7 linked regions of the Macaca mulatta genome follow. The protein of the gene in region 2 purifies or fractionates together with the protein of the main gene of each other region. This does not show direct contact. Links are inferred from orthologs where the notes say so. Each region holds a gene or a part of one and is shown on either strand. Other genes may lie near its edges.

Region 1 (3,918 bases), on a different chromosome or scaffold from region 2:
AGCGAAGCCCGAAGGACTCACCATAGGGACGTAGTTCTCTTCGCTGTCTCCTGAGTCTGTGCTGGTGATGCTCTGGGTGGAGATGGGGCGGCAGTACTGGGAGGAGCTGGAGTTGAAGGTGTGGCTGTTGTGGGAAGGAAGAATCAACACTGGGGAAGCAGCGTGGCTGCTGCCCTGTTTCTAGCCTACAGCTGAGCCCTGACCCTCACACACCCAGACCTCAGCCATTAGAGCTGCACACTCCATCAGATTAAGATCTGATATAGGGCAAGTATAATTATTCTCTTTTATAGCTGAGGAAACCAAGCCACAAGAGATCAAGAGACATGATCAGCTAATGATAGCGTTAGCATCAGAATCCAGCTGTCCTGGCCCACAGGCCAGCTACCATTTCACTCATCTTCTCTAATGGGCTGACTCCAAGCTCCCACCCCCACACATAGGCACTCACCTGGCCCTAGACCAAGACTTGGTGATAGGTGACTTGAAGGGGAGTTCATCGATGACAGTGTTGTTTCTCAGGTCAAGTGGTGTTGGCTTTGCTGGAGCAGGAAAAGAAAGTCTGGTAATCAGCCAGTAATAATGCTACACATACACAACTTATATATAACACATGAGCATGTTTATAAAGGCCTGCAAAGTCATTCCAGTTTCACACAGGGAAACTGATGCTCAGCGAGGTTATATAATCTTTGCCCATATTGATGGGCCTTGAAGTCATGTCTTCAGACTCCAAATTAAATATTCTTTCTGCTGTATCTACGGTAATTATATTTTCAGAATCAAAAATGAGGACACAGGGTTTGACAACAGATTCTTCTCCCTCGATTTATGACTTCATTTAAAAATAAGAGACTATATATAAAGATATATTTATATATAATACAGATATTAATATATATTTATATATACATATATATTTACATATATTTTCTTTGAGACAGGGTCTCGCTGTGTTGCTCAGGCTGCAGTGCAGTGGTGCAATCTCAGCTCACTGCAACCTCTGCCTCCTGGGTTCAACTGATCCTCCTGCCTCAGCCTCCCTAGTAGCTGGGACTACAGGAGCCTGCCACCACGCTTGGCTAATTTTTGCATTTTTAGTAGAGACGGAGTTTCACTGTTTTGGCCAGGCTGGTCTCAAACTCCTGACCTCAGGTGATCCACTCGCCTCAGCCTCCCAAAGTGTTGGGGTTACAGGCATGAGCCATGGCACCCAGCCAAGAGACCATATTTGAAGTGGAGATGGTCACTGTGACTACTCTCTGCTGCTCCTGGCCAGGTCTGTGCAAGCCACAGTGGAGGAAGGTAGATGCCACAAGGGCCTGAGGGCTTCAGTTTCACATGCTAAGATTTGAATTCCCTGTTGGTCAGACCCACAGGGGGCTATCTCTGCCCAGCTATCCTACTCCTCCCTTTGAATCCTTGCCACTAATCCAAGATCAGGAGAGTTTGAGATCACAGCAGACTGGTAACTTGCCTGGTCTACATGCAGGGAGCACAAACCTGACTTTACTGAATGCCTGCTGTGTACCAAAGTACTATCCTAGATGCTCTCCTTCACAGCAAACCTGGAAGGTAGGAATTACCATCTTCATTTCACAGATAAGAAAACTGAGACTCAGAATTTACATGATTTGCCCAAAGTCACACATCCCAAGGATCCACATGACCCCTAAGCAAATGGAAAGAGTCCCTAGCTATTGTCCAGAGATGGGACAGGGGAAAGAATGGACTTACCTTTCCGATCAGGTTTGAGGTTGCGGTTGACAGGGGGTGGCTGGATCTCACTTCCTCTGCTGGGGCCTCGGTGCATAGGAAGGGTTGTTGATGGGTAGCCAAGTGAGTCAAAGTGATGGGCCCCTGGGCTCATTGGGATGTAGACGCTCTGGGAATTATCACCTGCTCGTTCCATGGCCAACAGGGTGGAAGAACCTGGGTTCATGGGCACATAGTTGTCTTCAGAATTGGTGCTGTCTGATCGGCCCACAGTCATTTTCCCTGGCTAGGGAGAGGAACAGTGAAAGAAATACAGCTGTTACTAGCAAGAAGAAACAGGAAGTAGGTAAGACTTTGTAAACTAGGCAAGACAAGTCATGACTGGGTTAGCTACACTTTGAAGCTGTAAGGGAGACCCTGGGGAGACCAAATAAGAAAGCAGAGTAGTGGGAGGTTAAGGCAGTTGGATCACTTGAGGTGAGGAGTTCGAAACCAGCTTGGCCAACAAGGCGAAACTTCCTCTCTACTAAAAATACAAAGCATTAGCTGGGCGTGGTGACATATGCTTGTAATCCCAGCCACTCAGGAGGCTGAGACACGAGAATCGCTTGAAGCTGGGAGGCTGAGGTTGTAGTGAGCCAAGATCACACCACTGCACTCCAGCCTGGGTGACAGAGCGAGATTCTGTTTCAAAAAATAAAAAATAAAAGGAAGCAGAGTGGGAGACAAGAATATATGAGGTCTGTGGGCCCCTTCAAGCCTTCATGATCCTTTGGCATCCACCAATAATTTTTGATAAATCTAGAGTATAAAATATTCTTGGTGACTGGGTCCACTTGGCTTTCTGGATGCCTGACCAACACCGTGGGTAGCATAGTCCATAGACTGTAGGTTTGGTTCAGGACCTGCCCTCCACCTCAAGTCCAGACTCACCATTGGCAGGTCAGCATCTCGGGCCCTGGATCAGAACAAGGAGCATATTAGGAGTCCTGGCTCTGAAAGGTGAGGTCTGGGGCCAGTTGTGTTTCCCCAGTCCAGGTTCCTAAGTACCTGGGGCTCACTCCAGGCACCTAGGGGACCACCAAGCTGCAGTTGGAGCTTCTACAGAGTTGTGCAATACAGCACCCTAAGCTATAGCCTTCTTCTAACTCTTGTTCTACGTGCCCTGACATACAACTAAGCTGCTTCTGCCTTGGTTACCTGATTTCACTGTCTTTCCAGTGGGCCTGAAGCCAGGCCTTGGTTTTCTTGCCTGACACGTTGGAGAACTGTGTTAGCATCTTCCAGAGGGCAGCCTGGGATCCTGCTCTCAAGCCATAATTCTGCCACTTAGCATGACTGTGAGTACTACCCTTGCCTGGAGTCTCACACTGCAGCCTCCCTCCTATATGTGAGGCCATGTGGGTAAGGTTGTTGCCTTAGAAGATCCCCCACCGTGCAGCCTGGGTCTATTGCATTCTAGACCCTCTGCTTACCTATAAGGTTGGTGAACCTTGTAATCCAGTCTACCTTAGCACATACATTTCTTCCGGACTAGAATACTTGTATCTTACTTGTCCAAAGACTCAACGCAGGGTTCTGAACTGAGACAAGAACTTGGGCAGGGTCTTAAGATGGAGATGCCATCACTTTTTTGGGGTTGTGCTTTTAGTTCCATAAGGTGTGGCCTTTTACCTAACCAGGCCTGCCTGAGGACCCCTGGTTAACCCACACTCACCAGTAAAGAGCCGACTCCATCACTCATGGATTCAGCAGACCGGCCTGCACTCTCTCCACCACGCTGTGGGTACTCGTAGGTCTCACAGGAAGAAGCTGACAGAGGAAGGAGGATCCGTATGTACTCATGGTTGATTCATGTGTTGACACTTCCCCATACCCTCACCAGTGTGGTTCAAGGTCTTACTGATACTCCAGAAGATACCACTCTCAACCCCAAATGATAAGGAATTTCTTCGAACACATCACTCCTCAGTTCAAAAATCCTCCTGGGCTTCTAGATGTAGCTCCAATGTTAGCATCTGCAGAGAAGCCATCCTTGACTACTCTACCCTCATCTATGCACCTCTCCTTTGACTCCTATAGCACTCACCTGTCCCACTCACCCCAGCCATCACTTCTCTGAATACCACAGTAACAATACTTGTCCTGATTTATATGTGTTGGTTTTATTTTCCCAATGAGATGTAAGCTCTGAAGGGCAGG
Region 2 (3,636 bases):
CACAGATGGCCGGGCGCGGTGGCTCACGCCTGTAATCCCAGCACTTTGGGAGGCTGAGGCGGGCGGATCACAAGGTCAGGAGATCGAGACCACGGTGAAACCCTGTCTCTACTAAAAATGCAAAAAATTAGCCGGGCGAGGCGGCGGGCGCCTGTAGTCCCAGCTACTCGGGAGGCTGAGGCAGGAGAATGGCGTCAACCCGGGAGGCGGAGCTTGCAGTGAGCCGAGATCGCGCCACTGCACTCCAGCCCGGGCGACAGAGCGAGACTCCGTCTCAAAAAAAAAAAAAAAAAAAAAAAAAAAAAAAAAAAATTAGCCGGGCGTGGTTGTGGGCGCCTGTAGTCCCAGCTACTCGGGAGGCTGAGGCAGGAGAATGGCGTGAACCCGGGAGGCGGAGCTTGCAGTGAGCTGAGATCCGGCCACTGCACTCCAGCCTGGGCGACAGAGCGAGACTCCGTCTCAAAAAAAAAAAAAAAAAATGGGCACAGATGAGATGACTGCCTTCTAGCTCTGATAAGGCTTGGGGATTTGAGGACGGGCCAGGACTGTATTTGTTTTGTTTTGTTTTTTTAGACAATCTCACTCTGTCACCCAGGCTGGAGTGCAGTGGTGCGATCTCAGCTCATTGCAACCTCTGCCTCCTGGGTTCAAGCAATTCTCCTGCCTCAACCTCCTGAGTAGTTGGGACTACAGGTGCCCACCACCACACCCAGCTTATTTTTATATTTTTAGCAGAGATGGGGTTTCACCATATTGGTCAGGCTGGTCTCAAACTCCTGACCTCAGGTGATTCACCTGCCTCAGCTTCCCAAAGTGCTGGGATTACAGGTGTGGGCCACCACGCCCAGCCCTATAGTGCCAGGACTATAAAGAACACAGTTCAGGCTAAGGGATGAGCCCCTGGAGGAAGATGCCAGACACCCTAAAGAGCAAGAGAGGCCCACAGAGAGCTGCCTAGCGGGAATGTCTAGAAAGCAATGAGGGAAGGAACAGGGATACACTGTAGGGTACTGTACCTTCCTTTCTGCCACCCCTCACCCACACCTCTGCCACACTCACCACACCCTCAGGGTCCACCAGTAGCAGATGCTTGGGCTGCCCACTCTGCAAGCCAGTGAGCACATACTGGCCAGGTGTGGTCGTGCTCTCCCGCACCAGGAAGTCCCCGTTGAGCTGCAGCAGTGCCTCAGCCTCCCGCCGACTCAGCTTCCCATGGAACCAGGGCTCCCCTCGGAGCTGCTCAGCCATGGACACTGACTGGGGAGGTGGAGGCACCCGAAGAGCATCTTCAAAGGGCTCTGGAAGTGTAGACAGAGGGTGAGGGAAAGTAGCAGGCACAACACACACCCAAGACCCAGACTTCAGGGAAGGGAAGTCAGGAAGGAAAGAGCAGATAGGCAGGAGAAGGGCCAGAACCAAGTAGAAAGGTGGAGATGCAGAGAGGAAAGACAAGCACTCACTCATATCAAACAGGTCACGGGGTGCACTGCCATTGACAGCAGGATTGGGGAGCCCAGCACCACCCACTGCTTGCCGGACCTTGTCTAGGTTCTGGACGTTGACATAGGAGGGATCGTCAAAGAGCTCTCTGCCTGCTGAGGAAAGAGAGGTTCTACAGTGATCCCCAGCCCTGCCTCCAGCACTCCCTGGCTCTGTCCATCTCAGCTCCCTTCATACCTGGACAGGGTGGTGGAGGTGGCATCTGTTTTCGGACTTCTGGATCTCCCCCAACAGGCTGTCCTACAGGCTGCAGGGATAAAAATAAGGTGAGACCAGAAGCCCTAAACAACCACTCCCACCCTAGGCCCAGCCCACCTCCATCCAAGCAACTTACCAGTGTAGCTCCCAAGTGGCTAGGGGTCTGGGCACTGGGTGCAGTGGATCGAGCAGCCCCTGGAGCAGCTCCTTCCCGAAGCCTCATGTCTACCACCCCCCCCAGGGGGGGTTCCTTCCCCGGGAAGTCATTATAGTACTGATGGTCAGGTGGCTCTTCCTCCTCCTCATCCCACGCTGAGCCATCAAAGCCAGCCATCCTGAGGGACAGGACAGTGAAGGTGTAGCTGTAAATGTGTGGTGGGCAGGAGGAGGGGAGGAGGGAATAGAACAGCAGCCATCTATTGGGTATTTACTGTGGATTAGGCCTGAGGCTGAGTGTTTTATATACATAATCATTTCATTCTCCTGGCAACCCCATAAGGTAGGTATTGTTTCCTTCCCCAATTTTACATATGAGGAAAATGAGGGTCAGAGGTGAAAAGATTTGCCCAAGGTCTCACAACTAAAAGGCGGCTAAGCTCAGATTTAAATTCAGGTTTGACTTTAAAGCTCGTCCCCCTTGGCCAGGTGCAATGGCTCACGCCTATAATCCCAACACTTTTAGAGGCCAAGGAGGGAGGGCTGTTTGAGCCTAGGAGTTCAAGACCAGCCAGGGCAACATAGCAAGACCTTATCTCTACCAAAATAAAAATACTACTACTCAGCCACGTGTGGTGGCATGCACCTGTGGTCCCATCTACTCAGGAGGCTAAGGTGGGAGGATCACTCAAGCCCAGGGTATGAAGGCTACATTGAGCTGTGATTGCACCACTGAACTCCAGCCTGGGCTACAGAGCAAGGCTCTGTCTCAAAATAAGTAAGTAATGCTTTTGCTCTTGATCTCTGTGGGAGGCGCTCCAGCTCCAGAAGCACTATGGGGGGGGGGGGTGGGGTGTGTGTGTGTGTGTGTGTGTGTGTGTGTGTCTGTCTGTCTGTCTGTGTGTGTCAGCGTCAGCAGGGAGGCGCTCCAGCTCCAGATTTTACCTCCAATCCCTACTGGCTCCACTGCTTATCCCTCAAGGCCTGAGGTGGGAAAGATTGTAATCTCAGGGAAAAGAGATATCCTCCCAAACCCAAAGTCTTGATGGCTTCTAGAGGCAGGAAAACACAGAATGCCAAGCAGAGAAATGAGCAAGAAAGAGGAATGGGAATAGAAAATCCCACCTAGCCAGAGAGAGATGTAACTTGGAGGCCCTGGACTACAGCTCCACCATGAGCAAACAAGAAAAGCTGGCCCTGCGGCAAGCAGGGCCTCAAAAGCCTTTCCTCCTGGGCCACAGGAAACAGAAGAATAGCAGGAAGTGGGAAGCAGAGGCACACAGGTTATTCCCTCCCTGAACCTCTCAGCTCAAGTGTGGGAAGAACAGCCCTCCTTTCCCAATCTTGGTCTCAAAAGCTGCTCCACACTCTCCCCACTTGCTCACCTGTCATGAGGGGTGACCAGTTTGGGTGGGTTCCTGAGGTATTGTTTGAAGCGCAACTCAAAGGCCTGGCCAATGGTGCTGATGACATCCTGGGCAAGCCCTTCGGGACACTCCAGAATGTGGCAGGCTGAGGGCACAGCAGAGGCTGTCAGTGAGTTGAGCCCACTGGGAGGAGGCACAGACAGGGGCCCTCATCTTCCTCGGCAGGAACCCCCACTTAGATCTACTTAGAGTGGGTACAAATGACCCCAGGTCCTACTCACCTCAAACAGCCAGACCCACCCAGTGCTCCCCACCATGCCTCACCTCTCTGATTCACAGGGTCTTTGGCAACGTAGGCGACATACTCGGCTGTGTCCTGGGGAGGAAAGTCAGAAAATTTTACAGTTCCACTTTA
Region 3 (4,393 bases), on a different chromosome or scaffold from region 2:
GAGTGCAGTGGCACGATCTCGGCTCACTGCAACCTCTGCCTCGCGGGTTCAAGCGATTCTCCTGCCTCAGCCTCCCGAGTAGCTGGGATTACAGGCACCCACCACCATGCCTTGCTAATTTTTGTATTTTTAGTAGAGACAGGTTTTCACAATGTTGGCCAGGCTGGTCTCGAACTCCTGACCTCAGGTGATCCACTTGCCTCAGCCTCCTAAAGTGCTACAGGCATGAGCCACCTCGCCTGGCCGGCCTGTATATTTTTAAAGGAAATAACCTAAGAGTTTTTTCCAGATTTTCAAAGAGGTCCTGTAAAGATTAAGAACCACTGAACCTTTCTCGTTTGCCTGATCCTGGTTACTGTTCTCAGGAATAGGAGGACACAATGTCAGCTTTAACCCAGGCTAGTTCCTCTAAACTGCCTTATCGGTGAAATGAAAATAATAGGGTTGCTATGGGGATTAAATGAGATGATACTCAAAAAGTGATAATTAATGATAAATCATAAGGTGTCTGCCACAAAGTGCCCCTATTATAAACAAACAGTGGCCTGGAGGGACAGTTTATAAATACTGCTCCTTTAGCATTCCACTAATATTCACTGAGTGCCTGTTCTGTGTAGAGGCCCTGGTGAAAAAGATCGGCCTTCCAGTATATTATCTAGTCGAAAGAACCTCAAAAGATACAAAACACGATAGACTGAACGCCCTGAGAAGGGCGTAAGTGCAGTGCTCTAGGAGCTGTAGAAGAGGTCTCGATATCCACTGGAGGAAAGTGTTTATTGGAGTTCATATCTGGAGTGGGTTTAAAAGATGAACAGAGGGAATCTAAAACATACACACAAAATCAATACTACACGTACACATTTTATTCTTGGTTTTGTGGAAAGACCAGTTAGAAACACTGCAATCACTTCTACTACTCAGCAGATACTGAGCAGTAGGTTTCGTGACAGAGCACCTGTATCTTTTGTCCAGTCTGTTTACTATACATTGCGTGCTCTGGGCAGTCCTTATCTTCGTGTTCAGGAACAAAGTACACACACCCCTTTCCGAAACGAAGGGCCCAGGGATTCCGAGAGGGGTGGGAGCCCTCACGGCCAGACCACACAATGGGGAGCCTCTTTACCCTAGTTATCACCCACCCCTGCAGGCTCCACTTTGCCAGGGTTCGACTTCTCGGGTCCTTTCGCCCCTCCCCTGCAGCCCCCAGGAGCGCAGCAACAGCCTGGCCAGGCGCCCTCCCTCTCTCTCTCTCGAGCTTCCCTCCTCCTTCACCGGGAGCCGGAAAACCCGGAGCGAACCAGCCCAGCCCGGCGGCGCATGCTCAGTAGCGAACAGGTTCAGTTCGCTAGTAGGAAGCTCTAGCGCTACACCGGCGGCGGCGGCGGCGGCGGCTGCGGCGGCACCTCAGGGCAGCCAGATTCCCCAACAACGACCTCGGGTCCTTCCCCTTCCCCGTGAGACCCCCGCCCCAGCTCAGCCCCGCCCGGGGCTCCTGCGTTTCGGGGTACCAACTGAGCAGAGCGGGCGCCGCGGCCGGAGCGTACCTCCACACGTCCTCCCCCAGCCGCCAGCTCCGCCGCGGGGCCAGGCCGGGCCCGAGAGTGCAGCCCCGGCGGGCGGGCGGGCGGCGGCCGCGGCAGAGGGCAGCCCCGGGCGGCGCCGGCGGGCCGGGGAGGAGGCGCGGGGGGCCTGGCCCCGGGGCGGTGGTGCGGGATGCCGCCGCCTCCGGGCCGCGTTCGTTCTCCACAGTTGGTACCCGTGTCGGGTGTGTGGCCGGGCGCGGGCCTCGCCCCCCAGCCCCCTCACCAGGGCTAGCCCGGCTGCGCGGCGCCCGGAGGGGGCCGGGCCGTCCGGTGGGGCCGCGGCCCTGTTCCGTGCTGCGATCTCGCCCTCTCGCAGCTCCCCGGCCCGGCCGCCGCCGCCCCTCTCCCCGCCCAGAGGCGCCCCGGGGGCACCATGCAGGCGCAGCAGCTGCCATACGAGTTTTTCAGCGAAGAGAACGCGCCCAAGTGGCGGGGACTGCTGGTGCCTGCGCTGAAAAAGGTGAGGAGCACGCGGGACCCCGCTTCCCGGCCGCAGCACCCCAGCGCGGGCGCCGGGCTGGCGCTGGGGAAGGGCTGGGGAGGCGGGGCGCGCGCAGGGCTGTCTTTCTTCCCGGTCTCGCCGCGTCTCCAGAAGGACGGCGCACACTGAGAGGCTCGCCATACGGCTGGCTCTCAGTGTTGACATCCACCGGGTGTGTGGGAAGGCCGCAGGGAGCTGGCGGGAGTTTATCCGAATAATCCAACCCCTGAGAGGTGAATGCTTTGCCCTTTGATTCCAAGACAACAGTTGCAGGAGCCTCAGTTTTCTGCGGAGGTCAAAGCAGGCCACTTTTCCGCCTTCTCGGTCTTAGCGCGGAGCTGCTGTCAGCCTGCCGTTTTAGGTGTCCAGTACGCTCGTTTTAGTGGCTTTTCGAGAATGCCCTGGCCGTAGTGCTTGCTCAAAGGAATTGCGAGCTCGCCTGCCAGCAGTAACGTGGCCTGCTCTGTTCGCCATCAGCAATCACTCCTCATTCTCCTGGTTTCCCCCGCTCCTCCGATTAACAGGGGCCGGTGCACATGCTACCAATTTCGGGGTTTTTTTGTTTTGTTTTTGCAGCGTTAGAAACTTGGTGCTGTCATTTGGTTAAGAATTTTTAGCCTTTGTATGTTTAAGTTTGCTACGTTGTTACATACCCCCGATCTGTGCTTTTAAATGTTTTAGTATAATTAGGAAGTGTTGTTACATTTTTAAAGCTTCTAAAGCAGCAGTGTGACTACCAGACTATTTTTGTTTCCTTTTCTTCATTTACCTTTTCTGTAAAGATTGCTTTGCTCTTCTAATAGTGTTTCTAAATTCCAGTTTCTTGCTGCTTAAAGAATGTTTCATGCTAACTGCTTCTACTAAGAATGGAGATTAATGTTGTACCTTTTATGCTAAACATTAAAAGCTGTCTGATATTTCTCAAAGGCCAGTAACTTTTACTTTCCCTTTTGCCCTGTTCTCCTCCTGTCCCTCTTGCTGTCTTACAGTGGAAACTATTTGGTTTGTCAGGAGTATTTGCTCATATATTTCTGACTTAAGTTACGGACATTTTCCCCTTCAAGTGTCTGACTAGTCACAAACATCTATTTTTTTTTTTGTTTGTTTGTTTGTTTTTTTTTTTTTTTAAAGAAAACCAAAAAGATGCCATGTATCTTACATACTTTACTCCTTAGAAATCCCATCAGGCTCTCACTCCTTACTTTTGCTTTACTTGCAAGTTTGGCTTCTCAGCTTGCAATGGAATGGGTGTAGGACGTCTCTGTGATGCTAGAAGCTGGTGTCCGGATAGGGTAAGAGGAGACAGGGAAATTGTTTAAAAATCTGTAAAGGAACTCATAAAGTATTGCCAAATAGGGGCCATTTTGCTTAGAGGCAAAAACAGCTGCTTTCTTAGGGAATCACCAAGCTATCAGCTGAGAATTCTTTGAAGTAGTGGAAAGAATATTGTAGGAGTTGACAGACCTTGTTTTAATTCTGCCACACTGGTGGCCCTTGCTGGAATCTGTCCACAGAAGCATTTTGTTTGGCTGGCACAGTGTGGTTTTATTTTCAAATGTAATTAGTTGCTAATATTTGAAAATGGGAGATATTACATAAAATCTGAATTTTCTGCTTTTCTTGACGAATAGGAAGGTCTTGTCATTTAGGGTCTGTATTCAAGCGAGGCACTAAACTGCTGGAGGTGAGTAAATGGCTGCCTTCTTTAGACAGGTCGTGTATCTCCACCTTACCACAGCCCCCACTTGTCCTTTTTGCATATTTACATAAACCAGCTTTTGACTTTAAGCTAGAAATATTTTTGCAGTAGAAGTGATAAGAGGAGGTGGAAGTGTACATAATCTAGCTGATATGTAAGGTTCTTCCAATTCTTATTTAAATATCCACTAACAATGATTCTAAACAAGGTTGAAAATACAGTATATTTCATATCTGGATACGTTGTTGGTAGCTCAAAACCTACGTTTTTACCTGCCTGCTGGATATTTCATGTGGATATCTCCATATCTTGATTTCTTCCTTTGATTTATTATTGAATTATTTGTAGATGCATCCAACTCGTGTTCTCTTACTCTTACCTGAGGCTCTTTGGATATTCTAGTCCCTTCATCCTTCTTTGCCTGGTCCAACACTACTCATCCTTCTAGACTCACTCAACCTGAACTCTCAAATCATCAGGGCTGAATTGGATATTACTCTTTTGTTTTCTTTTTGCACCCTATTCTAGCTCTGTGAATTTTAAGTTCCTATTTACTTGCCTGTAGCTAGATCGGATGCTCCTTGAGAACAGGCTTGATATCTTACCCTCATTTTATTCCCCATACATACA
Region 4 (3,918 bases), on a different chromosome or scaffold from region 2:
TTACAGATGCAGACACTGAATCTCAGAGAAGTAACTGCGTGCCCAAGAGGGGCTAAAGAGAAGTGTGGACCTGGGTCAGCCAGCTTCCCCACGATGAGGAAGGCCAACCTGGAGAGGCAGGCCTGGAGGCAGGAGGCTGGGCCGGGCCTGAGAGGATATGAGTCTGGAGGTCTCCGGGGTGGACCACAGTGGGTGAGAAATTCTGGAACTGTACCGAGGTCTTGTTGCCATAGAAGAGATACATGCGGCCTGCAGTAGGTGGGGGAGGCAGAGCTCCATCTGAGTCCCTCTGACCCCTTCCCCAGGCCCAACCCAAGGTCTCCCTCCCACCCATTCCCACAGTCCCCTGGGACACACCTAGATTCTGCCGGAACTCTGACTTGACTCCGATCTGCAGCAGCTGGTTCTCGAACAGAACCCCGTTGTTCTTACACACAAACCTGGGTGGGAGTGGCAGGGGGCGCAGGATGACGGGGATGCCTGCCTGCACCTGACCTAGGCTCTGCACCTGTCCCCATTCCCCTCCCCCACCTCTCCCAGGACTCACTTATTCAGCAATTCATCGGCTTCCGGAATGGGAGGGCCAATGTCTTCAGGACCTGGGCTGGAGGCAGTGAGTGAGTGGAGTGAGATGGGAAGGGACTTGGTGGGGAGGGGCGAAGACCCAGAGCAATTGAGTGTGAGAACAAACCCTAAGGACAGAACCCCAGAACCACATATCCAGACCCCTCACAGAGCTTCGAGGAACTTCACATCCGTTCAGCAGTGGCCTCTAACGGGAATGGAACCCTGGCCCGTGCCCCCGCATCGGCAGGCACCAAGTTTCCCTTTCCTCAAAGTCCCTGCCTCTGCTGCTCATCAGGAACCCGTTGACAAGAGCTCTCAGTCCCCTAACTCTCCCTGGGGACACCGGAGTCTGCCCCCCCGCGACCTCCCACCCCAGGCCACCCCTTACTCAGCAGCTGGAGCTGGGTCAGCCAGCAAAGCCATGGGGCTCTCGGGGGCAGGCGGCTCCAGCTCGCTGGGCCATCCAATCCCAGAGCAGACAAGAGAAGACAGGCGTGGCAGCCAATCCCAGACAGGCAGCAAGAGGGCCGGAGAGAGAGAGACAGAGAGGGAGAAGGGAAGGAGAGAAGGAGAAAAGGAAGAGCAGGCTGAGAAACGGTGACAGGAAAGGAGACAACGAAGGGTGGCCAGTGTCGGTGGAGTCCAGAGTGGGAGAGGGAGGCTGTGAGCAGGGAGGCTGGGGCAGGGGAGGCAGCAGCCAGGGCTGGTGAAGGCATCGGGATGGAGAGAGGAGCGAGTAGGGGGCTGGGGAGGGGCTCAGGGAAAATGCGGGCAGAGGCCGAGAAGGGACAGCCCTGGGGGTGGCTGTGAGAAGGGGCCCGGGCCCAGGGGGTGCTACCTGAGGAAGGCCTCCTCGGGGGTGGGCCCCAGGCTGGGCTGGGCGGCCGGGCCATCGAAGACGTCCACCAGGAGGTTCCCTGCCCCTGCAGAAGCCGGGGGTGCTGCCGGGGGAGGGGCTGCCCGCAGCCCCAGGAGGTCGGCGGAGGGCGAGGGCGTCGACTGTAGGAAGCGCAGGTCATGGTGAGGACAGATGGCACCCTGGCAGGACCCAGCCCCAGGCACCCTGGCAGGGCCCACCCCAGGGGACTCACCACAGTGCTGGGGGTGGGCTCTACGCCCCCATTGATGTCGTTGCTGCTTGGGTCCCTCCGGCCATCATCCAGGGCACTGCCAGCCCCTGGCCCCTTCTTGCGTTTCAGCTTGGCCAGGATGGACGACTCGCGCTCGGGGAAGGGCGGCATCTCCTCCAGCACCGTAGCCTGGCGCAGTCGGGTGGGGAAGGTCAGTTCGGGTCAGGAGGAGGGGAGAGCGGGAAGGGGGTATGCCAGGGTGGGGAGGGGCAAGGCTCTGACCAGGACGTCGGTGCTGGCCACCGAGCTGAGGGTGAGGTACTCCACGGCTCGCTGCTGCAGCTCCACGTCAGCATTGCGCAGCTGGGAGCCGGCCCGCAGCACGGCCTGGATGGTGGCCTTGGTCTCGGGGAAGAGGTTGATGAACTTGATGTAGGTGGACAGCAGCAGCGCCCGCGTCGCCACGCTGCACAGGTGGAACTTGGAGTGGAGCAGGGAGAACTGCACCGGGGGGCTGTGCGCGGGAGTGGGTGTCAGCGGGGACCAGGCTCCACTGCCCTCTCCCAGAAACCCCCTCGAGAGGCACCCCTCCCTGGGATGGACCTGTCCCAGGACCCCAGGCCGCTGGAGGGGAGTGGCCCTCCCCAGGCACCAGGCAGGGGCCACAGTCACACTCTGTCCATGATCCTGGGACTGAGGTCCTCTCTTACCCTGCTAGGTGGGTTGGGGTGGAGGCCGAGAGGATGGGAGCCCATCACCGCCTACCCTGAGACCCCTGGGGATCCCTCAAGCCCTGGATCCGTCAGAAGTGTGTAGTGTTCCCCCCGCAGGCTGAGGCTCCCTCACCTGGAGCGGGGGTCCCCAGCAATCAGGTTCCCAAACTCCCCAAGGATGTAGCCGCCAACCTTCACCATGTTCTCATGACAGGCAGGGGCCTGGAGCGCCTGGGGGGGGCGGGGAAGGGCGTGGAGAGGACAAGAATGAGCACTCTCTCTGGGAGCACTGGGTGCAACCACCTCCTGACTGGTGGAACCCTCAAAGCTCTGCTGCGGGTGGGGTTATAAGTGGTAAACTGAGGCACAAAAAGGTTGAGTGACCGGCCCAAGCTCACACAGGCCGTAAAACAGGGCTGTGAGCCAGGCGTGGTGGCTCATGCCTGTAGCCCTAGCATTTTGGGAGGCCGAGGAGGGCAGATTGCCCAAGCTCAGGAGTTTGAAACCAGCCTGGGCAACATGGTGAAACCCCATCTCTATTAAAAATACAAACAAATTAGCTGGGTGTGGTGGCATGCGCCTGTAGTACCAGCTACTGGGGAGGCTGAGGCAGGAGAATGGTTTGACGCTGGGAGGCGGAGGTCGCAGCGAGCCAAGATCACGCCAAGGCACTCACTCCCCAATCCAGCCTGGGTGACAGAGTGAGACTCCGTCTCCAAAAAACAAACACACCAAAAAAAAACCAAAAAACAAAAAAAACAGGGCTGTGCAGGTCCCCTTTCCTGGGGCAGAGGGAAATGGAAACTACCGAGATCTGGGGCCAGGACTGCACACCGGGCTCCCCATGCCCATGCCCTGGGGACTCCTCACATCAGGAGGGTAGGAGGGACCCAGAGCCCTGGGTGCCCTGGGTTGGCCCAGAGAGGCAGAAGCCCCACTTTGAGGTCACAGCAGTGCAGGAGGAGGATGGCCAGGGGCTGGCAGGCCCCACAGCCCCGGCCGTCCTTGCTCTGCCTCTAGGTCCTGTCGTGGGGTCATGGGGGTCAGGGTCAGGAATGCTGACCTCAAAGACCGTCTTGGCGGCGTAGCCCTGGACGTCATCACGGTTGGTGACGATCTGTAGCACACGGTACCACACCTCTTCACTCACGTAGTCGCCCGCGATGCGGATGAGGTTGAGGATGGTGTCCACATACCAGCTGTAGTCCACGGCGTACTTCTCAGCCAGGATGGCCACCTTCAGGACCTGCCGCCGGAGCGTGTGAGAGACAGAGTGCCCGCAGGCTGAGTCGGGCTTTCACTCACCTGGCTCTGGGCTCACCACTGCCCCCATCTGGAGACCCAGGAGTCCAGGTCCCAGCCCCTCCTCCCTCAGACCCAGGAATCCAGGCCACCAGCCACCTATCCCTCAGATCCAGGTATCCAGGCTCCAGCCCCTCTTCCCTCGGACCCAAGAGTCCAAGCCCCCAGTCACCCCCTCCCTCAGACCCACAAGTCCAGCCCGCACCCCGCAGCACTCACGATCTCCTCGCGGATGGCATAGTCGGCCGTTTCCAGGTACCGCAGCA
Region 5 (4,430 bases), on a different chromosome or scaffold from region 2:
GAAGAATGCAATGACTGCAAGTACAGTTAGGTGCCACAACCCTGATTCATGCTAAGACACCTGCTTTACTTTGGTACCATTAGTGCAAACGTCAACACAGCAAAAGAGACAAGATCTTGGTGCTCTATTAACATGAAAACAGTTTCAGCCTCTCAACCCCTGAAGGGATATCAGGGACACGTAGGGAACTACACTGCTTTCTATACCAGCTTCCCGGAATGAGATTACTGGGTCACTGGCACATACATTTCAAATTCTGATAAGTTCCGCCAAAGCTCTCCAAAAAGTCTGTACCAATTTTCACTATGTAAGGTGCATGATCATCACAAGTCAAAATGTAAATAATTCACTTTTTAAATCCTAAATTTGGGAGCCATCATAACACATGACCATATTGGCTTGCCTAAAAACAAAGCTAAAATAGAATTAATGTTTCAAGGCAAAGTAAAATCCAAGCACCCAGATTTATTTAGATGAAGTGAGTATTTTCTTGTAAGAAAGTAAAACTTCAACCGTCAAATGCAAGTTCATCCAACAGAAGCCTTTGTTGATTGCAGTCACCCAATGTTAAGAAGTATTTCTGAATGAATTTCAAACTATAAGCCACTGGCACACTTGATACGTTTGCTTATAGGATAGGTGGGCTCAATTGATTTTTTAATATAAAGGACACAATCTGAAAAATGGCAGGCTGCAACAGTACAAACAGTAACCCTAATTAATTGGTTATAGACATTAGTGTAAGCCGACCCTTAGCTTTAACTTCACACAGAATTACTGGACATGAACAACATAAAATGTGCTGTCAGCACTCAAATGCCAAATATGTTCATAAAAATGTCAAAGACAACTTTTATTGGCCCAAATGTCACTCTAAACAGGGAGAAGAGAGGATGAAAGCTTCATCAACGAGGAAGGGATTATTACTCCTATGGAAGGTAAGACAGAAGCTGTGTATCTAAAATTAATAAGGAATGCTGCCTCCCCACTTGATTTTTCCCACATGGCTCCAAAGTGAGTATTTTCAAGTCCCACTTATGATGGAAAAGGTCAAGGATATTAGCATCAACCAGTATCTATGATTCTTAACTTTACCAGAAAAACAAACCACTTTGAGAATATGATAAAAGCTCTCTGTAGACAAAGCAGTAAAGAATCCATGCATGTCAGAAGAGCCCTTGACTTCGGTGAGAGCAGAATCATAGAACCATGCATCCTAAGAAACAACTGAAGTCCAGCCCCTCAGGAAACTGAAGCCCTGGAACAGTAAAATGGCTTGTCCAAGGTCAACAGTGAATTCGCAGAGGAAGCAGGCAAGAAATAAGCAACTCAAATAGATTCTGAATAAAGCCGAACTCACGAAGTAACTTTTTCTTATACAAAGTAAGTTTCACCAGAAACTTGAGAGATAACTAAAGTAACAAATGTATTAAGTGGAATTGGAAGGAACTGTCGCAAGTACTATTATTCAAAGTTCCTTGAAGGCCTAAGATGAACGCATGAGGAAAATAATGAGCAGAAATTTTAAAAGCACTCACCATGTTCCACAAAAACATTGCAGTGTGGACCCCCATGCCTCGATGATTCCTTCTTCCCTGCTCCTTTGATAAAATGCAGGGCAGGCAAGCTTGGCCTTCTTTGGTCCCCAAGAACTTTTCCAGGCTGCTGCCCCATAAAGTAATAATGGGTACCCCTTTCCAGAAGAGGGTTCACGATCTTCCAGAACGGTCAGAGAGCGTAGAGGCAAATGGCATATACGCAGGATTTCACATTCGCTGCATCTCCACAAGTCAGCAATTGAAGTCAATCAGAGAAAGACCTCTTCCATAACAAAAGGAAGCACTTTTTTTAGGTTGACACTTGCAAGCAGGAGTTCCAATTATTTTCGCAGTTTATCAATTTTAAGTAATGTAATTGCAGTGTTACCCAAAAGTTTCTTGACTTTTTTTTTTTTTTAACGGGCTGAATAACAATTTCTTTTCAAAAAGAAAAACCTAAGCAGAAATATTCACAGGGGATGCTGAAAAGGGTCAATAATGCTAGTCATTTCAATTCCCACATATAAAGGAAACGCTGATCGTCTTTGGCTACTCCTCCAGAACTTTTCCTGTGGAAGTCACCAACCTCCTATCTTAGCTTCTTCATCTTCCAACAAATTTCCTGCCGAACTAGTGGCCGCTCTCGCTTCTCTGCTCTGCTCTCCGGAAAAGGACACGGGTCACCCAGATTTCAGCGAGTTTGCCCTCGACTCTGACGAAAAGGAATGCATTGCCAGCAACTTTTAAGTCCGCTTTTTAAAAGGCCTGTGGAACCAATCCAGACTTTTCCTTTGCATTAAAGTTTTTGGCTGACCTGAGACTAAGGGGGCCGTAGGTGACATTGGAAGAAGTCAGGGCATTAGAGGCTCGCGGGAGCCACCTTGGGGAAGGGGAGACCCCTTGACAGCAGGGAGGGATTTGAATGAGAGGCTCTGTGGCCAAAGTTGGGGCCGGGATCCGGAACAAGGGGCGGCTCGGGGCTGAGGGAGGCTGCCGGGGCGCGGCACGGGCGGCTTACTCCAGGGCGACGCTCTTCCACGCCTCGGAAAACGGGGTGTCCCAAGCTGAGGGTAACAGACCCCCAGTGTCCCAAAGCCGGGGTGGAGCTGTAAGGGACGAAGGACTCTCGCGGCCCAGACAGCGAAAGGCGGACGCCGTGTAGAGGAGGCCCGGCCGCCTCAGCTGCCCCAAGCCCGGGGGTCTCTGCCTGAGACACCCTCTCCCCCGGCCCCGGACGCTGACACCACCACCGCCCTCAGGCAATCACATCCCCAGAGCTCCGCCGAGGAACCCAGCCGCCCCCCGCCGGTAGGGGCCGTGGACAGCGGAAGGGCTCCTCAGTCGCAGCACCCGGGAACCGGCTCCGGCTCCAGCGCTGCTCAGGCACAGACACCGACCCCCGCGGCCGCCATGATGGATTACGAGCCGCTCCACAACGAGGCCAGGCCCCGCCTTCCGCCCCGCCCACGACGACGTCCGGAGCCCGCCTCAAGGGGACCCGGATGCCCTCAGGGCCGCTTTCCCGGGACACCGCCGCGCGTCCCGGCTCTGGTCCCACTGCCTGCGAAAGCCGGGCCCGGCACGACCTTTTAAATGTGGCTTCTTTGAGCGCAAGGTGAGTGATAAGGAAGCACCCGCCTCCTCTGTATTGTCATTGGCCTCCGAGAATCCGGGTCGGGCCTCTTTCCCCCGTCCCATTGGCCAATGGGGGCAGTAGGGCTGGATCTCCCAGCCAACCGTGTTCGGCGCAGTACGCGGTGCGTCCCGGGAGTTGTGGTCCCACGGCACCCGCGCGAGTCCTCCCGCACCGAGACTCCTGGCCCGGACCCCGACCGCTGGGCCTCGCCCCGCCCTCCTGGGACCTGGTGGACTCTCGCCGGCCGAGCGTCGGCTGGACCGCGTCTCCCCGGCGCGAGTAGTAAGACCGGGACAAAGCGAGGGAAAAACTGCGGATTGGATTTTCCTGGAACCGGAATCGGATGATTTCCTTCAGTCTCTAAGGGAGAAAATGTGGCTTGCTCCTAGAAGCCAAGGTTTTTGGTGCCTCTCAACCCCTTCACCCTCCAAAAAGCATAAATATTAGAACTAGCGGACGGGGCGCGGTGGCCCACGCCTGTAATCCCAGCACTTTGGGAGGTCGAGGCGAGCGGATCACCTGAGGTCGGGAGTTCGAGACCAGCCTGACCAACATGGAGAAACCCCTTCTCTACTGAAAATACAAAATGAGCCGGGCGTGGTGGTGCATGCCTGTAATACCAGCCTCAGGACGTTGAGGCAGGAGAATCGCTTGAACCCAGGAGGCAGAGGTTGCGGTGAGCTGAGATCACACCATTGCACTCTAGCCTGGGCAACAAGAGCAAAACTCCGTCTCAAAAAACAACAACAACAACAACAAAAAAAAACAACTAGCGAAGAAACATACAGAAATAGGGAAAACATCCGACATGTTGCTAACGAATTCAACTATTTATTTGGGCATTAGGAGGCTTACTCATTACAGAAAAGCCATTTGTTGGGTTTGCCAGGCGCTATCAGATGTTTGCCCTGGAACGAATCTTTAAGACTATAAACATTTCACAGGTGAACACGTATTCACATGAAAACATCCTCTATATTAGCTGAGAAAATGCCCAGATGGTTGGGTTTAGCAAGTCTACAGAACCAATGACCTAGATGTGCCAAACCCACACCTGATAGAATCCATGTTCTGCGACTAAAAAGCACCTTGGTTCCTATTGGCTCTCCATGTCTCCCCAGAGGGATGCATCTGACAGGAATCCCATTTCTTTCTTTTTTTTTTTTTTTTTTTTTTTTCAGATGGAGTTTTGCTCTTGTCACCCAGGCTGGGGTGCAGTAGCAGGATTTCAGCTCACTGCAACTTTCACCTCCCGG
Region 6 (4,596 bases), on a different chromosome or scaffold from region 2:
GCAGTCCCTGCAGCCCCCACATTGCCCTGCTCTGTGAGTGGCTGCTGGTGGGGGGGGCACAGTGGTCTGCTTGTCTCGGTCTTCGGCACTGCCACTGCCAATGGGAACTCGGATTAGGCACGCCAGCCTCCTGGCGCCCAGAGCACACACTCTGCCCATGCGTGTTAGTGGACGGTCCTCGTGACTCTTGGGACTGTCCCGGAGAGCAGCCCAGGACCCCTCACATGGCACAAGACGCTCTTGTGTCCAGAATGGCCTTTATTTGTCGTCAGGGATAGGGGAGGGAAGCTTGTTAGTGGAAGGGAACAGCTGAAGGATGAATGGCCCCGGGACCACTTTCTCTGCCAGGAGGTAGCACTGGGAGGGGATGGGGACCCTGGAGGGGCGTACCCTCCTCCAGGAAGGCCTCTGCCAGGTCGGCTCCGTGACTCTGTCTTGGAAAGTGATGAACTTGTGCCCCTACCTCCTAGCCGGGCTCCACCAGGGCTAAGCTCTCATCTGGGGTTGTGCAAGTGAGCCAGGGTGGGGCAAAGTCCTGGCTGGTGGGTCTGGGCCAGTTCCAGGTACAGGGTCCAGATCCCCCCACTCCCGGAGGAGGGAACTTCCTCTTCAAAGCCATCTGGCTCTGGGAAGGACAGCGAGGCAGGGCCATGTGCTTCCGCACTCCCTGGGGTCTCTTCCTGGCCTAGGCCCAGAGCTGTGCAGCCTGGCCCAGAAGGTCCTCCCTCCCGCTGCGTCCACGGGGGGTCCCTAGGCCTCCAGCTCGCAGCGGTGCAGAGGGCCGGGGAGCAGAGGGGGCCCTGGCAACAGTGGCAAAAAGTCCTGGCGCTGAGGGACTGGATTCCACAGTGAGCTGCAGCCCCGGCCGCCATCACTGGGGTGGGGTGGGCGGTTGTTTCTCTGCAGGCCCAGGTGATGTGGTGGGGGCGCCTGGACTGCCACACAGACCCTGGGTTAGGTTGGGCACGGGGCCCGCCTGGCCCCCAGCTCGGGGACCGCAAGAGATGTGGCCCTGGCCGCTCAGGGCGGCAGAAGGGGCGGCTCAGTCCCAGTCTCAGGATACTGGGCTGGGGGAGGGTTTCCTCCCCAAAGGCTGTCCCGAGGCTGTGACCCCTTCGCCCAGAGCCCCGGCTTCCTCCTGGCGCCGCCCTCCCGGCCCTGGCCCACCCCGGACAAACAAGGCCCTGGCAGCGAAGCCCCTCCACTGCCCAGCGCTCACAGGTTGTTTATTCCAAGTAGGAAAACGGAGACCTGCTCGGGGCAATCTAGGGGGGCCGACGCCCAGGGCGAGGCTGCAGCGTGCGCCTGCGTGGTCGCCTCTTTTGCAGTGACCACCAACAATGAAGACGGCGGCTGTCCTGCTCACGCAAGTTCCCGCCCGGATCCACGCCCTTCCCGTGGGGGACGCGGGCGGCAGCGCCAACCCGGCGCGGCATCGGGACGCGAACCCGCGGCTCCAGCGGCTCCGTCCGTGGCGTCCGCCTGCATGGGGCGCCCCCGCGCCTGCCTCGACCGGCTCGTCCCCGCGCCGCGGACGCGCGCGCGCTGTCTCACGCGACACCCGCCCCGGCCGCCGTCCGTCGCAGCTCGCGTGCGTGCGCGTGTGTGCTAGTGCGGGCGTCGTGCGTGCGCGCGCGCGGCGGCCCAGAAAGCGGCGCTGGGAGCCTGAGGCGGCGGTGGTTAGTCGGCTCCCCGGCGGCTTGTCCGCGGCGCTGAAGGCGACCGTGCTCCCCGCTTCCCGCTCCCAGCGCTTCTCCGCCCAGGCCCGCCAGCGGAGGCCGCTCCCGAGCGCCGGAAGATGCCAGCCGTGTCCAAGGGGGACGGGATGCGGGGCCTGGCCGTCTTCATCTCCGATATCCGCAACTGTGAGTGGCGGGGGCGGCGCGGGGCGCGGGGCGCGGGGCCGGGGCTGTGGCCGGGGCCGCAGGCGGCTACGGGGTCTGGGAGCGGAGGTCCGGGGTGGGGGCTCGAGGCGGGGGTGCAGGCTGCGATGCGGGCGGGGCCCGGGGCCTGAGGGTGCGGGCGGCGCTCGGGGTCTTGGGGTACCGGGTCTGGGAGTGCGCGCCAGGGTGCGGAGTGGGGGTCCAGAGTTTGGGGGTGCGGACTGCGCTCAGGGTCTTGGGGTATCGGGTCTGGAGGTGCGGGCCAGGATGCAGAGCGGGGCCCTGGGTCTGGGGTGCGGGGTAGGGGGTCCAGGGTTTAGGGGTGCAGGGTCTGGGGGTTTAGGGTACGGTCCTTCATTCACATCTTCACTCCCGTTTGCTGGTCCGCGCGGGGGGCTGCGGCACCGCCAAGGGGGTTCCGGGCCAAGACGCCCCTCCCCAGTATGATGTCACCTCGGTCTTTCTAGTACTGGAGTGTTTAACCCAGCATTTTCCAAAACGGCGTGGATTTTAGCTCTGGGAGCAGAAATCTGGAAATCGGTGTCTTCCTAGGAAACAGCTTTGTGAGCTGGGTTCTGGCGGCTTATTATCCCCTGATTAGATCTCGCCCACGACGATTGAAATGACTCATTCCCGGAGGGAATCTGGACACGAGCAGGCAGTCAGCAGTCGGGGTGTGGGATGGCCTGGCTGCCTGCTGCTCCAATCACAGACCTCGTTCTCAACCCCATGCGTGTCCCCTCGGGGTGGAAAAAATCCACACCAAACCGTGAAACAAGCCAGGAAGGCTTGGCCTGTTAGGAGGATGTGCAGGGTGGCGGGGTGGGTGCACCGGTCCACAAATTAATTTGACTTTGGTGTGCAGAAACTTCTCTTGAAACAAAGCCGATTTCCTGTCTGGTGTGTTCATTTTTTTCCTTGTTATCCAGCAAATAGTTGACTTCATGGTTTTTTGTTTTTGTTTTTTTTGAGACAGGGTCTTGCTCTGGCGCCCAGGCTGGAGCGCAGTAGTGCCATCACGGCCCACCCAGCCTCCCAGCTCAAGTGATCCTACCACCTCAGCCTCCAGAGTCGCTGGGACTACAAGCGTGCACCACCACCATTTTCGTGTTTTTTGTAGAGATGAGGGTCTCATTGTGTTGCCCAGGCTGGTCTCGAACTCCTGAGCTCAAGTGATCCACCTACCTCGGGCCTCCCAAAGTGCTGGGTTTACTGGCGTGAGCCACTGCACCCTCATAATTTTTAGTGTATATTTTGAGGAATTTTTGTGATCTTCCCTTTGAATTCTCATCTCCTTAGACTGGGTGGAGGATCAGGAGGATGGTCATTCTCCCACACTCTGTGTAAGGATAGAAGTCCATCTAACCCTTCCCCTACTCTTTTTTTTTTTTTTTTTTTTTTTGAGACAGAGTCTGGCTCTGCCGCCCAGGCTGGAGTGCAATGGCCGGATCTCAGCTCACTGCAAGCTCCGCCTCCCGGGTTCACGCCATTCTCCTGCCTCAGCCTCCCGAGTAGCTGGAACTACAGGCGCCCGCCACCTCGCCCGGCTAATGTTTTGTATTTTTAGTAGAGACGGGGTTTCACCGTGTTAGCCAGGATGGTCTCGATCTCCTGACCTCGTGATCCACCTGTCTCGGCCTCCCAAAGTGCTGGGATTACAGGCTTGAGCCACCGCGCCCGGCCAGCATAGAGCTGGGTGCAGTGGCTCACACCTGTAGTCCCAGCACTTTGGGAGACCAAGGCAGGTGGATCTTTTGAGCCCAGAAGTTTGAGACCAGCCTGGGCAATGTGGTGAGACCCTGTCTCTACAAAAACCATGAAAATTAGCCGGGCGTGTTGGTGTACACACCTATAGTCCCAGCTACTTGGGAGGCTGAGACAAGATCACTTGAGCTCAGGAGGTCAAGGCTGCAGTGAGCTGAGATCGTGCCACCGTACTCCAGCCTGGGTGACAGAGTGAGACCTTTGTCAAAAAAAAAAAAAAAAAAAAAGGCTTAGAAACACAGCCTCAGATCAGTACTTTTACGAGTAGCATTTTTTCTCTTGCTTTGTCACGTAATGAGACTAACATGCATTTTGTAAAACTAAGTGTGTGTATTATTTGTTAAGGGGACTCCTCGGGACAAAGGCTGAGCACTGTTAAGTTAGCTGCGATGTCTGTCCTTTCATTTTTGAGGAAAATTGTGTTAGGCAGGACGATGAGATTGGAAGGCATTTCCTTAGACAACAAGTCACCCGCTTGTTAGATATATTGTCTGTGCGAGGGCCTGCGTTTGACAGGATGGCGCCTACCACAGGGAGCGCAGTACAGCCGTCCTCCCTTATTTGTGGTTTCACCTTCTGAGGTTTTAGTTACCTCTGGTCACCTGTGATCTGAAAATAGGTGAGCACAGTACAATAAGATATTTAAAGACACCACATTCATGTAACTTTTATTACAGGATATGATTACAGTTCTCTTTTATTATTGGCTGCTGCTAATCTCTTATTGTGCCTAATCTGTAAGTTAAACTTTTTCCTAGGTATGTGTGGGAAAAAAGCAGCTTGTATAGGATTTAGTGTTATATGAAGTTTCAGGCACCCACTGAGGGCCTTGGAACGTATTCCTGTGGATATGGGGAAACTGCTGTACTCTATAAATACTTGACTGTGTAGACCAGACTTTCTTCAACTCGGCAGAGCTGACATTTGGGGCTGGATCACCCTTTGTTGT
Region 7 (3,918 bases), on a different chromosome or scaffold from region 2:
GAAGGCATCTGGGGAGGGCAGGTGGTCTTCCCTGCCCCATAGGGACCCTCACCGGGATCTTGAAGGCATCCACGGAGACCTGGTTCTCCATGGAGTCGAGCGAGGGCCGGCGGGCGCCGGAAGAGGAGTAGCTGACCGGGAAGGCCTGGGCGGGCCTCCGAAAGGTCATCTCAGCTGAGGGGATGGGTGGCTTGTGGGCAAACTTGTGGTAGCGGTGGATGCAGAAGGCAGACAGCAGCACCGAAACGATGAAGGAGAAGAGGACGGCGGCTGCAATCACCGTGCGGCACAGCTCGTCGCACAGTGGATCTGTGGGTGGGGGCGGTGTGAGGCTCCAGGCCCAGAGGCTCGGCACCACTGGGTACAGGCTGCGCATGCTCCACCGCATGGCTCTCCAGCCAACCGTGTCCGCACCAGCGGGGAAGTGGCCATGAAGGTGTGGGAAGGCCTGAGAACACCCCATTGGGCATGGGTACTGCCATTTACTGCCCCCTCCTAGACTACTATTGCCCTCTTACAGATGGTGACAGAGGCTCAGAGAGGCTGAGCAGCCTGCCAAGGTCACACAGCAGAGGCTATGCTCACTACACCAGCTGGCACTGGAGGGCTGGCAGGGGAGGTTAAAATTTTCCTCTGTTCCAAATGTCTTTGGCATTTTCTTTATGAAAATGTTAAGTGGCTCATGATGTAGGGCTATATAATACCGGAAAACTCAATACCAGAAATGTGTCCCTGTGCTCAGGCAGAACCGCATCCCTGAGTGTAGTCAGTGTGGCTGTGCCACCCACCATACCTGTTGACCTTGAAATGTGTTCCTGGGTGGGTCCCAGATGCATGGTCACAGGGATAGTGACCTGTCACCCTGACAAGTTGTTTGGTGGAAGAACTGCTTTTCTGGCCTGTTCATCATAGAACTCAGGGCCAGAGGACACTTTATAGGGGCTCTGGCCCCTCTCCTGGGTTGCACCAATGGAGTAACAGAGGCCCAGAGGGAGGGAGGGAAGTCTCATGGGGCCCACTCGCCTCCCAGCAATTTCCTCCCTTGTTGGGACCTCAGATGTGCTGTTGAGACCTCCATGGGCCCAGGAGGTGGTGGTGGTCGTGGCTGCCACCCACTCACCCTGGATGTCTTCGGGCTCGCAGAAGCACTTCTCCTCCTCAGGGAAGCAGTTGCAGGTACCATAGCCAGCTTTAATCCCCCGGGGCTCCCCGGGCTCATGCCCGCCGACAATGCTGCCCCCTGAGGGCAGACATAGCCCACTCAGCCCCCTGGGGTGTCTGACCACCCCAGGCCCCCATATTTCGAGGGCACTGTCCCAAGGAGCCCCCCTCCCCAACTGGTGTTGCAGGCATAGGCCCAGGGAGGCCAGGCGCCCAGCAGCTTGGCTCAGCCGGGCAGGGTTCGGTCACAGTGCCTTTCTGAAGCCATGGGTGAAGCCAGGCCCCCTCCTAACATTTCATCTGAACAAAGGACTCTGCCTTCAAAACTGGAGCCTGGTGGCCTGACCAGCACATTGCAGGGTCCCTTGTCTAGCTCAGGCCACACTTTCCCTGTCAGTGTCCCTATTGACCATTCTCTGCTTCTGAAATCTGTGTGTGCCAATTTCTGGGGCCTCAGCAGGGACGTGGACAGTCTGTGTGTCCCTGCCTCCCCCCATCCCTGACCCTCCCTGCTCCCTCCCCATGGCCAGGGTGACGCTGAAATGCACAAGAGGCTCAGCTTGATGCATAAAACTGACAGCCCTGGCAACTCTGGCTGAAGTGCATGTGGGATCCAGGTTTCCCCTACTATCTCCTACCTGTTCCCATGCCCTCATTAAACCCTGCTTACGGAGGCAGTCCTGGGGGCAAATGTTGATGTCTTGGGTCTCCACGACATCGCAGTGGCCATCGGGGCAAGTCTTGGTGCTGGGAGAGCAGGTGGAGAAGTTCCTGGTGATCCCTGCACAGGACACACAGCAGGCTGTCACCCACGTGGGAGCCCCGCCACATGCCCCCACCACCTCCTAGGCCGATCCTGCCCCTCTAGGGAGGAGCAAATGGAGCCCTGAGCAGGGAAACACCACACACAGAGCCTTGCCAGCGGAAGCATCCTGGGGAGCCACAGCTTATGGGAGAGGAGGTATGGGGGGTTCCTCACACAGGTGGCCCTTACAGCAAAGAGGCCAGGACCCTCTCAGGGCTGCACAGTGAGGGCCCCTCATGCTGGTGGGCACACCCAGGCTGGCCTCTGGCTGATGCAGACAATGAGTCCCCTGCCCACACCACATCCCCTGGACGAGGACTTCCCAGAAAAGGCCATTCTGTCCCCAGCACATCCCAACTTTGGTTCAGACCTTCCCAAGTCCAGAGTGACTCCAGCCTGGGGACCATTTGCTGTATTCACAAGCCCTCTCCCCAGCCCTGCACTGCTGCCCACTATGCTGGCATCGTGAGCCACGTGGGGGATGAGGTGCCAGAAGCAGACCTGGAGCAGGGAGAGCCACTCCAGGCTGGCAGGGCCCCAGGACCCCGTTTCTACCGGTGCCGTTGCCCCTGCAGGCATCCCTTGGGCGTTTCCAGGACCTACCTTTGCCATCTCCTTGCCTCCACTCACATCTGCCCGTTGGGGAGCCCAGGCCGCCACACTCCTCACACTCTGGCCGTCTCTTGCTGACTGCACAGGACAGGGGGCAGCCCGCCTCCTCGGCCACATCTGCAGGTGGCAGACAAGCAGGGTCACAGGGGGCTGGCCTGGGTCCAGCGCCCAGCCAGTGCCCAAGGACAGGGAACAGTACCAGCTGAGCTGCCTCACAGATGGAGCCCAAGGGGACTGGAGTGGCAGACCCAGGGCAGCAAAGCCAGTGCCAGGAGCACAGAGCACAGGGCAGGGTACAGGACATCATGGTCACAAAGCGGGGGTCACCTGGGCTGGGGTAAGTACAGGAGGAAGGATGTGAGGGCAGCCAGATTCGGCCAACGATGCTGAGGATGCCCTGTGGGACCTGCATTTCAGATACACAATGAATGGCATGAATGGCAGCTGCTCAGCATGTTCCTAAGAGGGCATGGATGGGCCTGGAGGTGTGTCTTTCGAGAAGCTGCAAAGGTTGCACAGAACACACCTATACCAAAACACTGCCTGTTGTTTACCTAAAATTCAAATTTAACCAAGGTCCTGTATGTTATCTGGAAGGGACAACCATTTATTGCTGGGTCACTCACGGTAAAGCTGGTCCATGCCTTCCCCACTCCCCAGCTAAGCCTTGCAGCTGTACTGTTTTTTTCAAAGGGCAGCAGGCCCAGGCTCCGGAAGCCCCCAGGTCCCCAACCCATTCCTTCCTGGAGCAGGCACTCACACAACCCCTCCACCGTGACAAGCAGCTGGGCCTGGGCCTGCCTGGAGGTCTGATGGTTGGTGGCCACCACCATGTAGTGAAGCTCAGCACACTTGGGCCGTCGCAGGGCCTTGGTGTCGTTCACAAACAGGATCCCCGAGGTGTCCTCGGCCGAGGTGACCACCCCTAGTGTGCTGCAGTTGGCGCCGGAGGAATGCAGCTCATACTGGACATTGATGCCACTGAACGCCTGGCAGTTTTCCACACAGACTTTCCCGATCTAGGGGGGCACAGGGGAACACCTTAACCAGGCCGCTGGACCGGCCTGCAGTGGCCTGAGGGTAGAGGTTCCCACACAGCCTGAGTTCTGGAACAGCCCCCAACTGAACCTGGAGACAGCAGCCCCGCTGAGCGCCCTGTCCTCCATCCCCTCAGAGCCTGCAGACCCACCCACCTGCCCCGGCCCTGCCCTGCCCAGCTCCACTCAGGCCACATGTCACCAGCTGCCTCTGTTCCTGGGAGCCGGAGGTCAAAGCAACCCAGGGCCTCGAGGTTCAGTTTGGTGGCAGGAAAAGCCCCAGGCAGGCCCTGACTTAACCCT

Evidence for each region.
Region 1: the proteins of SHC1 (region 2) and GAB2 purify together in Homo sapiens (affinity purification with western blotting; 6 studies listed by BioGRID and IntAct, with this or other methods). This does not show direct contact. The link is inferred for Macaca mulatta from reciprocal best matches to the Homo sapiens genes SHC1 and GAB2.
Region 3: the proteins of SHC1 (region 2) and SOS1 purify together in Homo sapiens (affinity purification with western blotting; 14 studies listed by BioGRID and IntAct, with this or other methods). This does not show direct contact. The link is inferred for Macaca mulatta from reciprocal best matches to the Homo sapiens genes SHC1 and SOS1.
Region 4: the proteins of SHC1 (region 2) and AP2A1 purify together in Homo sapiens (affinity purification with mass spectrometry; 4 studies listed by BioGRID and IntAct, counting the BioPlex papers as one, with this or other methods). This does not show direct contact. The link is inferred for Macaca mulatta from reciprocal best matches to the Homo sapiens genes SHC1 and AP2A1.
Region 5: the proteins of SHC1 (region 2) and ABL1 purify together in Homo sapiens (affinity purification with western blotting; 5 studies listed by BioGRID, with this or other methods). This does not show direct contact. The link is inferred for Macaca mulatta from reciprocal best matches to the Homo sapiens genes SHC1 and ABL1.
Region 6: the proteins of SHC1 (region 2) and AP2A2 purify together in Homo sapiens (affinity purification with mass spectrometry; 4 studies listed by BioGRID and IntAct, with this or other methods). This does not show direct contact. The link is inferred for Macaca mulatta from reciprocal best matches to the Homo sapiens genes SHC1 and AP2A2.
Region 7: the proteins of SHC1 (region 2) and RET purify together in Homo sapiens (affinity purification with western blotting; 4 studies listed by BioGRID and IntAct, with this or other methods). This does not show direct contact. The link is inferred for Macaca mulatta from reciprocal best matches to the Homo sapiens genes SHC1 and RET.

Annotation. Positions count from the first base shown.
Region 1 is NC_133419.1:78,650,368-78,654,285, forward strand, and holds part of GAB2 (GRB2-associated-binding protein 2), read right to left. Parts: intron 3,529-3,918; coding exon 3,434-3,528; intron 2,003-3,433; coding exon 1,738-2,002; intron 543-1,737; coding exon 452-542; intron 125-451; coding exon 22-124; intron 1-21. UniProt on the Homo sapiens protein: Adapter protein which acts downstream of several membrane receptors including cytokine, antigen, hormone, cell matrix and growth factor receptors to regulate multiple signaling pathways.
Region 2 is NC_133406.1:112,035,660-112,039,295, reverse strand, and holds part of SHC1 (SHC-transforming protein 1), read right to left. Parts: intron 3,598-3,636; coding exon 3,546-3,597; intron 3,367-3,545; coding exon 3,240-3,366; intron 2,034-3,239; coding exon 1,835-2,033; intron 1,748-1,834; coding exon 1,678-1,747; intron 1,596-1,677; coding exon 1,461-1,595; intron 1,299-1,460; coding exon 1,060-1,298; coding exon of another isoform or gene 955-1,059; exon of another isoform or gene 922-954; intron 44-921; exon of another isoform or gene 1-43. UniProt on the Homo sapiens protein: Signaling adapter that couples activated growth factor receptors to signaling pathways. Participates in a signaling cascade initiated by activated KIT and KITLG/SCF.
Region 3 is NC_133418.1:85,814,774-85,819,166, forward strand, and holds the start of SOS1 (son of sevenless homolog 1), read left to right. Parts: upstream 1-1,339; 5' UTR 1,340-1,956; coding exon 1,957-2,043; intron 2,044-2,178; exon of another isoform or gene 2,179-2,297; intron 2,298-4,393.
Region 4 is NC_133424.1:62,267,828-62,271,745, reverse strand, and holds part of AP2A1 (AP-2 complex subunit alpha-1), read right to left. Parts: coding exon 3,872-3,918; intron 3,597-3,871; coding exon 3,414-3,596; intron 2,582-3,413; coding exon 2,484-2,581; intron 2,152-2,483; coding exon 1,920-2,151; intron 1,827-1,919; coding exon 1,659-1,826; intron 1,567-1,658; coding exon 1,406-1,566; intron 1,022-1,405; coding exon of another isoform or gene 956-1,021; intron 605-955; coding exon 548-604; intron 441-547; coding exon 358-440; intron 250-357; coding exon 160-249; coding exon of another isoform or gene 71-159; intron 1-70.
Region 5 is NC_133420.1:16,869,688-16,874,117, forward strand, and holds the start of ABL1 (tyrosine-protein kinase ABL1), read right to left. Parts: upstream 3,163-4,430; 5' UTR 2,381-3,162; coding exon of another isoform or gene 2,282-2,380; 5' UTR 1,675-2,281; coding exon 1,539-1,674; exon of another isoform or gene 1-1,538. Other genes in the region: uncharacterized protein LOC144335005, read right to left, coding at 2,282-2,380. UniProt on the Homo sapiens protein: Non-receptor tyrosine-protein kinase that plays a role in many key processes linked to cell growth and survival such as cytoskeleton remodeling in response to extracellular stimuli, cell motility and adhesion, receptor endocytosis, autophagy, DNA damage response and apoptosis.
Region 6 is NC_133419.1:820,774-825,369, forward strand, and holds the start of AP2A2 (AP-2 complex subunit alpha-2), read left to right. Parts: upstream 1-1,610; 5' UTR 1,611-1,798; coding exon 1,799-1,865; intron 1,866-4,596. UniProt on the Homo sapiens protein: Component of the adaptor protein complex 2 (AP-2). Adaptor protein complexes function in protein transport via transport vesicles in different membrane traffic pathways.
Region 7 is NC_133414.1:55,573,556-55,577,473, reverse strand, and holds part of RET (proto-oncogene tyrosine-protein kinase receptor Ret), read right to left. Parts: intron 3,598-3,918; coding exon 3,339-3,597; intron 2,696-3,338; coding exon 2,570-2,695; intron 1,943-2,569; coding exon 1,832-1,942; intron 1,241-1,831; coding exon 1,121-1,240; intron 310-1,120; coding exon 53-309; intron 1-52. UniProt on the Homo sapiens protein: Receptor tyrosine-protein kinase involved in numerous cellular mechanisms including cell proliferation, neuronal navigation, cell migration, and cell differentiation in response to glia cell line-derived growth family factors (GDNF, NRTN, ARTN, PSPN and GDF15).